Linked DNA regions of Lytechinus pictus. The protein of the gene in region 2 purifies or fractionates together with the protein of the main gene of each other region. This does not show direct contact. Links are inferred from orthologs where the notes say so. Each region holds a gene or a part of one and is shown on either strand. Other genes may lie near its edges.

Region 1 (7,323 bases), on a different chromosome or scaffold from region 2:
GAAGTTGTGAACAAAACAAATTTCCAATAAAGACGAACTTGAACTTGAATCCAAGATCAGTCTAAACCTGGGATGAAAATGGTTTAATTAAACTTGGTTTCACAGAGCTTCTTTATATGAAATCAATGTTTGCTGCAACCATGACTGCAGCTACTTTCGTTTATCTTTAATATAGACAAAGTATTACACGTACCTTTAGTTTATCAAGTAGGTCTTCCATGATGATGTAATGCTGATACATCTGGCCTGGCCCGATCTCACTGCTGTCATCTCTTCCTTTCTCTTCCCCCATCTTGATTAAGAGTCTCTTGGGATACTATATCCCTGGGTTCTTGTATGGACACTGACTTCTTACACCAGTATCCCCAGTGTCCAAAAATTGCTTATAGAGGCTGTTCAGTGTAACCTCTCAGAATCAAACTTTCAGTTAAAATTTGATGGTAATTGTAAAGAAAAAAATTTCAAAAAATTGTATGAAGATCATACAACTGGGTATCTTTCAGCTTACAAGCTGTTGTGATGCCACTTCATATGAAAAAAATGTCTGTTGATGATAATGGACGACACAGTGGATTCCTATGACATTGCTCTTCTCCCAGAGTAGGATGCTGCAACAGAAAGAGATATAATTGATAGTTAAATAATAATATTCTGCATTTATATAGCTTTTAACACATCGGAACGATGTTTCTAAGCGCTTTACAGATATATTATTACCCCGGTCATCGCATCCTTGCATGCCCGCATACAATGTATGCACCTTCTCCGCTCCTTGGGGAGCATTCCAACAAGAGTTCCCAGACTCAATTGCTAGGCATACTGCATAGTTTCATAATATATGTGCCACCAATATTCATTATCTATCTTACATGTGCGTAAACAAATTTTACCTGACACACGCAAATAAAATGCAAGGGTCAGGAGTGACAATTTGAAGAAAAAAAATTATTGAACAGAAAAATTAGTCCGAATTAGAGAATACGGATTAAGTAGCACAAGTTAGAACGGAGGAAAACTGTAGTGTTGACTCTTGACAGTTCTGTCACATCTAATCATTTCACAGAATTTTGACAGAGCCTTTATAATACTTAGCCAGCAAAATTCAGGTAAAGTCAATCTTTACATTCATATGCTATTCCACGTTTGTTAGCATACATGTACACACTTCTGACAGTCCTTTCTCGTGTTAAGTACTGGTATATCTATATATTTTGTTTTAATACCATGGATACTGTACTACCACCAGAGGAGATACTCGTGTTAAGTATCGGTATATCTATATATTTTGTTTTAATACCATGGATACTGTACTACCACCAGAGGAGATACTACGATCGATGAACAGGCACTCAACTCAAGCCTACAGCATCATGGACTTAAAGTAAAGTAATAATCAAAACAATGATTGCAGGCATTAACAGAAAGACAAGAAAAGACTAACAGTACTGTCTGGCCAAACGTCTTTCATTTTGAAGCCAACCAAGGCCCTATTTAGTATTGCATGGAAGTTACAATTGAAGTTAACTTTGCTGTCTAGTCAGTGATTTTAATTGTAACATCCACGGAATCCTTGACATTTACTGGCCATTGAGCACATGACAGCAAAAACATTTTATGAATCTCTTTTAATGAAGCAGACCCCTGCACATGTCAATGGAATGCATGTACGAAGACGAAGTGATCCATTTTTTGACCTTGACTCAGTCAATTGAAACACTGCATGAGCATGGTTTCATCTGTCTCACTGAGCTTGACTGTCTTGACTTGAGTCAGTGGACAGTGAGTGATTGATAATGAAAAACTAACATTGTAAAAAAACTCAAAATAATTTTTTTTTTTGTCTTTTTTAAAAATAGACCTAGATTCTAGGCCTAATTCTAACTGCGCGAAGCTTCAGTCTCCCTGTACGCCGCTAGCTGCGGCCAGCCGTGCCAGCAGGCGCTGCAGAGCCGCCAGAGAGGAGCGCTCACCGAACACGGCCAATATGGGAGACTGTCTCCCATGAGAGAGATTATTTCCAATATTAGAGACTTTTGTAAATTTGGGTATCCAATTTCAGAGAGTCTCCAGTTTGGGAGACCAATTTCCTTTGCTTACATTTGCTGCAAAAGGATTAGCTTGGCAGCAAATAAAAATGTGATGAGCAGATTCCTCATGAAAAATTACCCCTTTTCAACGTCTACTTTGAAAATTCACCATCTACTTTTGTTTTGATAAGGATTTTTGTTGTCATCCACACACAAAACAAATGGGCTTCTGACCTCAGTGAGGCAAAATTTTGGGTGGAAAAAAAATCTGCTTTTGTTGGTGTTGTTTCTTTTGTTCTTTTGCAAAGCAAGTCTCCAATATGGGAGATTGTCTTCCATATTGGAGAGAGTCTCCCATATTGGCCATGCGCCTCTACTGACAAGTGACAGTGCTAGCTAGTGCTAGTCACGTCCACAACAAATCATTAAATGATGACATTGACAAGAGAAAGACAGAGATGGGATGGTGTAAAACTAAAAGTGAGTTTTATTTCATTCTTTTAACAAGTCCATGTTTCAAACATGTCGCACATTCATTGTATTTAGTCGAACAATAGTTAGATCTAGTAAAACGTTAGATCTATTTGATTTTGAGTATTTCATCAACTCAATCAAGTTCTAATTCTATCTTATCAATATGATATCAAGACAAGTTTCTGAGTCTGACTAGTCTGAGAGACTCTGTCAGTCTGTGTTCGTGTATAAACCGCAACCCCCATAGATGATTCCCCGACTAAAAAAGGTGCGGTTTATATTCCGGAAAACACGGTAAGTCTAAAGTCGGTGTCTGCAGTGCAGGAACGGGTCCAAGAAGGCAAGACATAGAGCTCCTCCGTCGCCGCTTACCGGCGGAGCTCGGAGCGGCAGCTTATTTGGTTACCCGCCCGGCCGGCGGCTGCCCCTACCGGAGCGGCACTGCCACTGGCGCTGCGCTCGCTGCAACTAGTGCAGCTGCTTTGGCTTTGCATTGCAGCTCAATTCCATATTCAAATCCCTTACACTTTAGTAGAAACATACGCTGTGAAAAAGAGGCTGGTAGACTTTGAAAAAATATATACATTTAGGGTATATCTTACCTCAACAACAGTGTCTCAAAGTGTTTAATGGTACCGATATATCGAACATTTCACAAAAATAACTTCACCGCGTCCATATCGTCAGGGAAATATTTGACCTTTGACCGAAGCGCAAGCCTAGGTGGTGAAGATGCGATGATATACAGTGCAGTCGTTTTTGTTTTCACTAATAATCACACCAATTATTACTTGGGAAATATCTCACTTTTCGGGTAGAAAATGATCAAGTTATATTTTATGTTATTATTTATTGTTATTAAGTATTATGTTACACTTTCATGGTATTACAATTTGCCAGAATATAAAGTATTTGAAATAATGCACTTAAAAGTATCTGTTTTATGAGACTATACCATCACATCTTCTTCTTATGTTGGTTTGAGTGGCGATTAGTCATATTTGACTATTGTCGCCAACTATATAATCATTGAGATACTAGTAATATATACTGTGGAGTATCTCTATGATACCATCTTTCGACCTCCATGATGATACTATAATATATCTCTATATGTACCATCATGACTACCAATTAAGGCATCCGAAAAGATTGAACCAAAAGAAGAAAAACAAGGTATAGCTTGTTGGCTGTGAGCAATATGAAAGTGTGTACTGGAGACGTGATAATAACGGATATAGGGAAAGTTTATGCGTCACCCACCAAAAAGGCATTTAAAAAAACAATCAAACAAAAATATGGATTGAAAATTCATGAATTTAAATTTTTAGCTGTATTTATTTTATTAATCATTCTTTTAATGCCTCTTTGTTTCGTCTCTGTTTTCAATGTGTTTCTATCTGTTTCTAGCTGTGCCACAATCAATGACCCCCCCCCCCCCCCCCGGGCGCAGCCAAGGAAGATTACTGGCCCTGGGAAGCGGGGATGCTGCGTGTCATAGGCAGCACCCCTTTCGAATTTCGTTAGGTCTGCAAATTTTGAGAAATGTACTAAAAATGCCAATTTTTTTTTTTTTAACCTATAGCTCCCCCACCCCTTTTTTTTTTACTCGTCAAAAATTGCTCCAGCACCCCCACCCCAAAATCGTTCCCAGGGCCCTGCATTTTCCCTGGATGGAGATCATGTATTACACCCGTCATATTTTTTTTATGTGAGGGTTATTATTCAGTTTTGTCATACATTTTAGAATGAAATTCATTAATGAAATAAGAAGTGGGGGGGGGCTATACATGTATGCGTCAAAACTACCCTTTTTTGTAATCTTAATATTTTTTTTATTCGTTGTTATGTATCTCAACACATGATGGCAATATTTTTTTTGTCTCGGGTCCAAAAGAAAAAGGTGCCGGTCAAAATCCAAAATGGCCGCCAATCCACGCCCCCCCCCCCCCCCCAAAAAAAAAAAAGTCACAGACGTTTTGGCCACAACTTCTTTATTTGGTGGTCTTTTTCTGAACTGCTTTTTGTGTCTATTCGTATATGTTTAAGGGGGGAGGCAATTTGTTTTTCCCCAAAATTAGTACTTTTAAACCATTATTTGTATAGAGTTAAAATGTGATATTACCTAAATTTACAAAAAATAGCTTTTTTTCGGTTTAGAGTGAAATGGATCTAATAAAAGTAATGATAATAAACAATTAATAGAGGATAATATTCATTAGAAAAAAATATATGGTGAAAACTATACTTTTTCCATGTTATACACAATTTCAATACAACAAACTTAAGCATGAGGACTACCAGTAAGGATCTCTCATAGCATTGACGATAGGCCTACTATCTGTTTAATAAATTAATACGTTCTGTTTTACTGAATTACTGGCTTCCCAATAAGGAAACTATGGTCTATTACGCCTAAAAACCCCAGAAAAACGTTGATTCAATAGAGAAAAAAACAAGCATAACGCTGAAAATTTCATCAACATCGGATATAAAAAAGGGAATTATTACATTTTAAAATTTTGCTTATTTTTCACAAAACAGTCATAATCATGCAGAACTCAGGGACATGCAAAATGAGAGAGTCGATGATGTCCATCCCGTGTACTCCATCAATCACTATTTCTTTAGTTTTTTTATTGTTTGAATTATATGATATTTCAATTTTCACCAATTTTCCATTAAGGACCAACTTAACTGAGTCATAATGAAATGCTATATAATGAAATAATTAAAATATTCATAATTCATATAGGCCTCATTACATACAAAAGAAATACGATGAGAGAGTGATGTTATCAGTCTCCTCATTTGCATCCAAAACGGCAAGTAGGTTTGTTTTGTGAAATTAGTCGAAATTTCAAATGTCATAATTTCCTTATTTACATCCGATTTTGCTGAAATTTTCAGTGTTATGCTTGTTGGATTCTTCTATTTTTATTTAACTCAACTTTTAGTTGGGGTGGAGTTGTCCTTAACTCGTCTGAGACCATTTCATAAAATTTGATAAGATAGCAATTCTTGCTGGAATGTCAGATTTCATTAGAATCACGAAGCAGAATTTTCACTGTTGTCATGGTAGTTGACACTCACAGTAAAACACTGTTTAAGATTTCATACAACGCTGTTTGCTACATGAACCTTACAGTATCTGTTTAACCGTTTAAACATTTTAATTTATTGAAAATTAGATATTGAAAATTAAATTTTGTTGCTTAAGATTTAAACACTTGTTAAAACTGTTTAAACAATTACTGTAAGGTTCATATAGTAACCAGCGTTTTATATATTTTGTTACTGTGATACATAGGCGGATCCAGGAGGCCCGAGGGGCCCGCCCCCCCCCCCCTATTGGCGGAGCAAAGAAAAAAGAAAAAGGGAAAAGAGAGGGGAAGAAAGAAAATGAAAGAAAAAGAGGGGAGGAAAAAAAGAAGAGGAAGACCATGAAGACAAGTGAGGGAAAGACATGGAAAAAAAATCTTTCATATCATTATATGAAATTTTCGCTCGCGCTTCGCGCTCGCATTATATGTTCGATTAGATACATATCTTGCTCAATAGACTGATATGGAGCTTAAAATGTCAAGTTTTTAAGTCATTATACCAAAACAAAACAATCAACTTTGAGCGGCCGATCGGGGAAAATATGGGTGAACAAAAATTTCGCCCCCCCCCCTCTCCCTATATTGGCGAAAGCTGGATCCGCCCCTGACTCTATCAAGAGTTACTATCTTCTCAACTGTTCAAGGTCTATTATTATTATAGGGATTATGGTTTCGGTCGTTTCGGTGATATGGGCATGATATTGTTTCTGCCTCAAGAGGGCGCAAGCCGCAACACTACAAGGCCCTATAGAATCGACATTTTCTCTTTTATCCTGCATTCAAAGAAATGGAAATGCTGTTGTGCACTTGTTGTTTTTTATTATTTTTTAAAGTTTACCGAGAAACTATTTTCCCCATTAACCCATCTACCATTTTTGACAATCATATGGAGTGTTCACCGCCACTTGCCACAGGGCCCTGGGGACGATTTTTAGTGGGGGTGCTGAAGTGAATTTGACAAGCAAAAGAAAACACACAGGGTTTTCATTACGAAATGTGGGTGGTTTCGGTCCAGAGAAATGTGACAAGCAAAAAAAGAAAGAAAGAAAGAAATTAAAAGGGGTGGCTTTCCTACAAAATGCATTTTTATTACATTTCTGCCATTATAAGGTTATGCCTATCGGATTTCCAAGGGTGCTGCTCATGGAAGATAGCACACCCAGCACCCCCAAGAGTGCTTCACCACCAGCACACCCGCTTCCCAGGGCCATGACTTCCCCCCCCCCCCCCTTGTGTGACGACGTCCCTGCTTTGGTGTTTGCGGGTGGTTTCCTTTTTTCTGTCTGTCTGTCTGTCTTTCTTTCTTTTCATTAGGGTGTTTATAGCCAAAATATATAAAATAATAGGAGCAACGTTGAACAGTCACTCAATATAAACCATATAAATATATATAAATATTGGTTAATGTGGTTTTATGGAAATTTACCCACTTTTTTAAGTCATAGGCGGATCCAGGGGGCCGAGGGGCCCCTACCCCCCCCCCTTATTATGGAGCAAAAAAATATTTAAAAAAAGGGGGAAATAAAGAAAAAAAGAGGGACAAGAATGGGAAAAAAAAGGAAGAGGATGAAGACGAGTAAATAAAATAAGACTTGGAAAATAAAATACATATATCTTATGTCACTATATAAACTTTTCTCTCTTGCATTAATTATCATTAATATCTTGCTCAATATGGAGCTTTAAATATCGAGTCAATGTACAAAACATATTTCAGC
Region 2 (8,153 bases):
GGTATTAGAAGTATATAAGCTGATTTAGCGTCACCATGATTTTCATTAATTCTTAAGCAAAAACAATATAAAGAATGGCATGTCTTTAGGAAAAAACCCTTTTGGACACCTGGAAAACAATCAGACAAGCAGGTTTTGCGGCGACTTTATGCGTCCTATAATGAGCAACTCAATTCTTAGTAATTATAGGCTTATACTTATCCCGCAGAGATTTATATACCCAATTATTGAAGCTTAAAAATGCCAACAAGAAAGATAACATATTAATTCATAAACAAACATATGAATTATAATCACATCTCCATTCAAACATAATTCAAATTAATAGGCATCAATTGTATGAAAATGGTTGTTGGATGATAATGAGATTTGCATATATTTTCATTTCATTTATTTTAAATTCTCATTAAAACATACAACATACAATTGAAATTAAAACTAAGGATACATGCACAGTATACAAAATAAACAAAATGGAAAATATAACAAGTGAGAGAGAGAAAAAAAAATATGTGGGAGCCAGCATTGGATTCCGTGATATTTTTAAAATCATTTTGCATCACGGAGTCCTCTAGGCTAAGCCAGCAAAGCCCTGTCAGAGGCTGGGTTCCAGAAATAGGCACCAAAATCTTAAAGAGATGGTTTGCTGATCACTCAATAATTTTGATCAACGAATATATTCCTTTAATATATGAGTGTTCATTTATTTCTTCACTTTTTTATTTACATATATCTATACAGTTTCCAATAATAATAATAATAATAAAAAAACGTGTAGTACGATACCATGTGCATAATCTCTTGAAAACAATGAAGAAACAAGAACAAAGAGAATAAAGACAAAAAAAAAAAATGACGAAGAAAAAAAGGAAAAAAGAAAAAAGAGCAAATACAGAGAAGAATTTAAAAAAAGGGAAGAAAGAAAAAGAAAACAGACCCCAAAAAGAAAAAAAAGGTAGAGGAAAAAATAAAAATAAAAATAAAAAAGGGGGAAAATAAAATAAAACAGAACAAAAGAAAAGAATGGAGGAGAAAGAAAAACAAATAATTCAAACGAAAATATGTTACTTCTTTCAAAGAAAAAGCCGAAGCTAAAATAGTTGCCAGGCAAAGGGTGTGAAGCAAGAATTTACGGAACTATTATGAATATGAATATGAATATGAATATTCATAACAATCTCTATCCGACGCATCAAATGATAGCCTTTTGTCGGGGCATTCTGTTGTATTATCTATATGGACTTTAGTGGTATTGGCCACTCCTAGTACCAATGAGGTCCAAACATTAACATGTATGGACCTCATAGGCGACAATGCGTTAAAAACAGGTTAGAACTTCTAAACGTACTGTTTCCTGCACCCAAGTATGATATTACTCCCAAAATATGAGTTTTGTCCTCGTTTGTTTATCATTTATTAAAAGATTGCCCATTACATATATTCCTATTCCTAATTTGAATTTAATAAAATAAAGGGAAACTTACATTTGAGTAATTTTTCGATCTTTTTTTGGCAGTCAGTCCGGTCACCGTCGAGTGCGATCAAAGCGGTATGAAGCTGATTTTCAGATCACGTGATACGTGTGGTCATCACCTGATCAATCGACTATCCTTTTTTAAAGACCGCAACAATTATAAATTTTATTATAAAATATATATAGAATGAATAATTGCATGATATTATATATATTTCTACAATTAAAAATATTTTGTGATATTAATTTAATATTTGACGTAAAAATCGCTATTTAACAAAATATTTATTAAAAATAAAAAATCAAACAAAATAAAAACGCCTTGGACACAGTGCAAAAAACCTAACAATTTGGCCGCGTTCTTAACAACTATCATAAGGGGCGCTCTATTTATAAATAAAGTTGCATATGTAGCTGTCTACCGCGACAGGAACAGCCGCAGAATTGAAGCCAGAAGCGTGAGAAATTGCCAGAAAATTCAAGAAAAGAACCGGTGAGTACCGATTTAACAGTACTAATTTATTAAGTAACATTTATTGAATCATTACAAGATTTATTTTTTAGTAAAACAAAGCTTAGTTCTAAGCTAGGGCGGCCCAAATGCGCGTGAGTGGAGTCCCAGTTTATTAGCACGGGTAAGTATTGGGGTGTCGCCTAGAGTGGTATTGGCAGGATCTGATGATAATAAGAACTTACTGAAATTACTTACTTACTGATATTCAATTATTATTTTATTTTTAAAGTATTTTTTCTCTTTTATCATTTGTTTTTTGTTTTTTGCCCGTTTGGTAATAAAAATCAATTTATCTCGTTGCCTCGTCAAAAGGCTATATCAATCCTCCATTGCTTCCTGTACGAACGAGTTTTAATGCACACCGGCAAAATTTTCCGACGTTTTTGCTTCGTTTTGGGGAATTATTTCGAAGTTTTGAGGGCCGCCCATATTGCGGCTTAAGTTGTAAGTATGTATTGATTCCTTTGTAACAGTTTTGTGCAATTTTATGTATTTTTGATTGATTCCCGATGCTCATCTGATTTGATCTGGTGAGCCGGGGTGAATCACAACGCAGCCCGAACACAGTACGTGTTCGGGCTGCCGCAGTAAGCTATGGCAATGCTGCTTGTTAGAAAATGTTACTCTTCCTCCTCCTTTTTTCTTCTCGCAATCAATTTGTTCTTTCTTTCAGATCTAGCTTGGGTTCAAGTTACAAATAGATCTATTGCCTTATTGCCTTTGGTAGATCTATTTGCCTTTTCAATTGCAAAGTTATCAGTCATACGCCATACACCAAAATAAGCAAATGGGACTGTACTAGGCTGTATTGGATAGATACGGATCTGGCAAACTTCAAATCTAATCGATATAAATTTAGCAAACTATATCATTTTAAACGAAAACTCAATCATTTTACATTTATAATATTATTTTAAAACAATACAAATCGAATAATATATAGAAAGACCTTTTAAACTTACCGTTTCTATGTGGGAAAGATTAAACAGCGTCCCAAGAAACGGCGAAAGTGAAGCAGAAAATGGAATGTATTAACTGCGCATGTGTAGTATAAATAAATATTTTTTATATTTCATTAAAAAAAATGTTTTTGGGAAATTATTCGAATATTTCACGCATTTTAATATTTTATTTCTATTAAATAGAATTATTTTATATTTATCCTGTCTCAATAATGAAAATGTGAACAATATAAATGATCCTAAAACTTAATACATTGCAAAGCTTGACATATCAACAAGATTCGGTCGAGTTGTGCGCCCCGAATTGGAGGGACTCAGCGGGAATTGAATGTGGAGCAGCGGGGAGCTTCAGCGACACGCGATTCGATTCTAAACACCCGGCCGATGAAAACAGATCAAGGCAAGGGCAGTTCAGCGGCCGCGGCGGTGTGTTTTTATACCTTTATACCTTTATACCTTTATACCGCATCTACTGGAAAAATACAGTTGTTTTCCTTCATTTCCCGAGTTCCTGTCTGTTTGACTCATAATTTTATTAAGATTCTCAAGTTGGGAATGTTACCGAGTCTGTGATTAAGGTAATCAGACATTATTTATATTTATAAAGAAGTCGATCATTTGATTTTGACAAGTCAATTAATTGTCATTTATCAACAATAGACAATATCATTTCTGACATTACAATCGACACTAGTAATACTAGTAATAGTATCAGTATCAGTAGGGGGTCGGGTGTCCGGACAATTATATTTTTGAAGCCTTCTTTTTTGTCTTTGGATTACACTAAAATATAAATTTAATAGTTGTAAAAAAAACTTGTAATCATCTTCTATGTTGTTCTTTATATTTATAAATAATATTTCCTAACATTTTGTACTAAAAATGGATGAAACTTCGCTTGTAAATTTTCCAAATGACTTTCTAAAATTGATCGTCCGGACACACAACAACTGGGTCTTACAACAGATCGAAATGTGACTAGATCTAACGTTAGATCTAGACCAAAAGTTCTTCTTCTTCTTGTAAAGTACAGACTGCCGTTGGCACATTATCGTGCTCGTGCTTGTCAAGTGCCCAGATGAATAGTGCGAGTAAAAATCTCTACAGATAGATCTATGTGCGGCTAAAAACAGAAGAGGCCTTAACGAAGGTCGAAGCCTCCTTTGCTGCACCTCCTGCTTGAAAGACGCGAGGGAGGTGCTGTGAACTATCTTTGCTGGGAGTGAGTTCCATATTCTGATAGCATCAGGAAAGAATGTTTTTTTATATATTTGTGTTCTGGCATAGGGCCTATGGGATTTAACTTTAATTTTAACTTTAATAAAAGCTTTGTGTTGGGGCGTTGTGGCATGCGCCTGTAATCCAAGCTATGTGGGGAAGTTACAAATTGATGCAGAGCCAGAGGTTCGAGCCCTGGTCACGTCTTTCGAGTTTCGGATGGTGATGTTATTTGTGAAACTTAAACTTTTAAATAATCGTATCTGATTGATACACGTCTGACAAAACTCAAATACACACACACCGCTGAACTCCGTTGGCTTCTCTCTGTGTACAAGGAGAAATAAAAAATTTAAAAAATGTTTAAAAATTCCTAAAAACAGATGGCTGCCAGTGCCAGCTGTCTGTAAATGTGACAAACTACATGACATATTCCATTTTAAATCTTGAGTCGACAGCGAGATTGAAACTGAGGGAGAAAAAAAAAACACTATTTGAAGTTCAACAAAAACTGAGCTTATCTTTTTGTAAATAACATTAACATTACTTCAAAAGATTCTAAATTTCGGGTGTTATGCTTTAATTGTCAAGTAGTAGACCAATAAATAGGCCTAATGTTAGAGATCTAACTTTACCTGTATTAACGCTAACGTTAGGGCTATTTGAATTTAGGGATATGCTCTGCTGAGACTTCATCTGGCTCCGCGCGGCACCCCCTTCGCTCCGTCAATACACGGGCTTGTAGTGGTGGAGCTATACTGACGCCTTAACTACAGCTTCTATGGAGAAAAGGGTTCGATTTTGCAATCGCTTGATCGCCGTCGGCGACAGCTGAGCGTACGGACGTGCCAGCGGAATGACTGGCACGTTCATACTCAACTGTAGCGCTCAGCTGTAGAGTAAACTTCACAGAGCAAAATGCTTTATCAAAATTGGATAACAAACAAGTTATAGAATTGTTTTAATTTTATAATTTAGAATAATAATTTATAATTAGATCTAGAATTTAGAATTTAGGCCTATAATAATTTATATGATATAATTTATAATTAGAATTTAGAATAATTTAGAATATTATAGTTTTATTGAATTTTAAAGTTTAGCAATATTTTGTGAAAACAGTTATATGCATGTCGTCATGAATATTCATTAGCTGGGCTGATGATGTCACATCCCCACATTTCTTTTTTTTATGTTATTAGATGAAATCATAATTGTTTCATACTTTTTCATACGTGTGAAAATGATTTGTCTCCATTTATATAATGAAATAAGTTGCAGCAATAAATAACTACATGTAATTAATGCACTTAATCAGCTGTCAATTGTTTTCCAATTGTTTTAGTTCTTGCTTGAAAAGTTTTTGAATAAACCTAATTTTATATAATAAAATACAAAAGAACAAGTGGGGATATGACATCATCAGCCCAACTAATTAATATTCATGAAGACATGCCTAGAGGCTAGAACTGTTTCACCGGAATAATGCAAATCTTTAAAATTCAATAGCTTGGTTATTTTTATTTGATATATATCTGATTTTGATCAAATTTTTGGCATTTTGCTCTGTGAATTTTACTCTATTTATTGAAATATAAATATCTTTAGCCTGGAGCATGCATTAAAAAAAAGTTATATAGCCATTTTAAAATGCTGAAAGGCCCCCCCCCCCCAAAAAAAAAAGGGCATGAAATTAATTTAAGAAAGGAGACACTTTATCTTAACTTAAATCTTGACTAAACCTGGAATGTAAGTAGAGAGTAGGAAAGATGGACAAAAGCTTTAGTCTCTGACTCTGTGCTCTCCTTCAAGAGGCAGCGTAACTCGGTCCTAAGTTAGAGTGTCTGTTTTAGATAACATTGTAGATCTCAACGTCGGGGTTTGAGTCCTGCTCATGCCAAAACATGTATAATAAAAATCTGATGTTATAGCATTGTGTGTAAGTGTGCCTCGCCACTGTATTCAGCTCAGTGCAGGTGTGAATGCAGTTGTAAAACACTCTGTCCATCGGAATTAAAGGACGCAAATGGTGGTCCCTTGTATTAGGAGAGCAACAACCAATGCACGTTAAAACTGATACACTATTCGTGAAAGAGCAGGGTGTTCACCTGGTGTATTGCACCTGCAGGTCTCAGCTGTATCCACATCCCTGCCCCTTTGGCTCCTACTTTGGGGGTGTTGGGCGATATACCTGAGAGTATACCTGAAGAAAGAAGAAGAACTTAGTCTTAGCTCTGGGACGGGAACGGCATGTATGGTCAGCCCACCCCCTAGACAATTTGTGAAAAAATAAATCCCCAGAAAATATGGTTATTCTTATTAAGTTTTTTATTATGTTGCTACATGATCATATATATCTTTTTTTCTTTTGTCAGTTGAAATTAGCTTTTGCCCATTATGGCACTGTGTATTCGCATTTGGGTGATGTACTGCTGCAGCATTGTCATTGACCAGTGGGTAGGAGGCCGGGGTGCATTTTTGAGCATGTGTCATAAATTGATGCATGTTCACAATTGTTCTCCATAGTCCATTGTCTAGTATTATGTAGATCTACAATTTGTTTAATTGTTACCTTGTAATTAAGTTCAAGTATATTCTAGACTGTGTCCTGTCCATGTATTTTTATGGATACTAGGTAAATGAAAATAATGCAATAAAATGAAGTATTATACTATTTGTTCTTTTGTCAGAATGGATCCTGTCAGGAGTTCAAGCCGATCAACAATTAATGTGACCTTACCGAGTCAACACAGCGGCAGTGTCACAGGATCAGCTGAGAAACGGGCAAATAAACAAGCTGCAGTCCCAGAAAAAAATGAAGAGTATGTTCTGTACACATTAATAGCTCCCTCGATGCATATTGTACCTTCTTGCAGTATTTTATTTTTTATAAGGTAACAATACTGCAGGTTTTATGGAAAATGTTTTTTCTCAAATTCATTTCATACTCTTGGAGAAAGCTATATTCTTTTTTACCCCAAATCCTTATTTTATCCCTCAAAATACTGCAAATCTTTGTACAGTGTTGGCATCCCTAAATTACCCATACAAAGCCTTATTTATGATTATTAAAAGTTGAACCCAAATAAACAAACTTTTAATGGGCAATTTGTTTTGCAAACTTTCATGCTTCAAATGAAGATACATGTACTTAGGAAAGATTTCCATATGCACCCTCCACCAAAAATAACAAAAGATTGTCAAGACTTCCAGTTCGCTCACTTCAGATTTCTCTATTGATTTCTTAGTGTTACTTAATGTAGTTGAGACTCGAACTCACCTCGTAACTGCAGTCAAGATCTCATCCCGCTATGCTGGCGAGAAGCACTGATACCAGAATAGGAATTTTAGCGATTATGAGCTGATAGTTTGACTAGTCTAGGCTTTCAGACCATTTACTGACTAGATAAACCGATGTCTGTGGAAAATTACAAGCACTCAATCCTGCGCGAAACTTTGAATAGAGCCATATTTTGGCATGTATTTCCACTCTCCCATCATATGTGTTCTACATGATGTAGATTAGGGCTAGATAAGTAATTTTAAACCTTCCTCCATATTTTTACTTCCAATTTTAGTGGGGGTGCATATGGAACTCTTCCTGATCCCCCTCAAGAGAGTGGCAAATGTAGACAAATGTATTACCAAAGGACATGATATGATTTGAATCCTTGACCTTGTGGTTTAAATTATATGGACCTATCCACTGATCCTCACCATCTCCACATGAAAGCCATGGAAATGTACTTGAGTAAAGTAGACTATAAATACAGCTACTCTTTTTGTTTGTTTTCTTTTTTGTATGTTATATGAAAGGTTGACACAACTATTAGCAGCAAGATCAATAGAAAGATGTTGGTGTTCCTACAGAGATAAACAGATGTTTAAACTTCTCAAGCATGCAGTATGTGCAGCCGTAAGTATACATAAAATACATGGTGTCATTTTTTTTCAAGGGCTATATTTCCAGCATATATAATGGGAC

The links. Proteins that work in one complex are often made in the same cells at the same time.
Region 1: the proteins of intraflagellar transport protein 80 homolog (region 2) and intraflagellar transport protein 57 homolog purify together in Homo sapiens (affinity purification with mass spectrometry; 3 studies listed by BioGRID and IntAct, counting the BioPlex papers as one, with this or other methods). This does not show direct contact. The link is inferred for Lytechinus pictus from reciprocal best matches to the Homo sapiens genes IFT80 and IFT57.

The regions. Positions count from the first base shown.
Region 1 is NC_087252.1:13,083,751-13,091,073, forward strand, and holds the start of intraflagellar transport protein 57 homolog, read right to left. Parts: upstream 3,206-7,323; 5' UTR 3,104-3,205; intron 609-3,103; 5' UTR 293-608; coding exon 194-292; intron 1-193. UniProt on the Homo sapiens protein: Required for the formation of cilia. Plays an indirect role in sonic hedgehog signaling, cilia being required for all activity of the hedgehog pathway.
Region 2 is NC_087260.1:26,521,089-26,529,241, forward strand, and holds the start of intraflagellar transport protein 80 homolog, read right to left. Parts: upstream 3,039-8,153; 5' UTR 2,951-3,038; intron 1-2,950. Other genes in the region: uncharacterized protein CXorf58-like, read left to right, coding at 6,860-6,990, 7,985-8,084.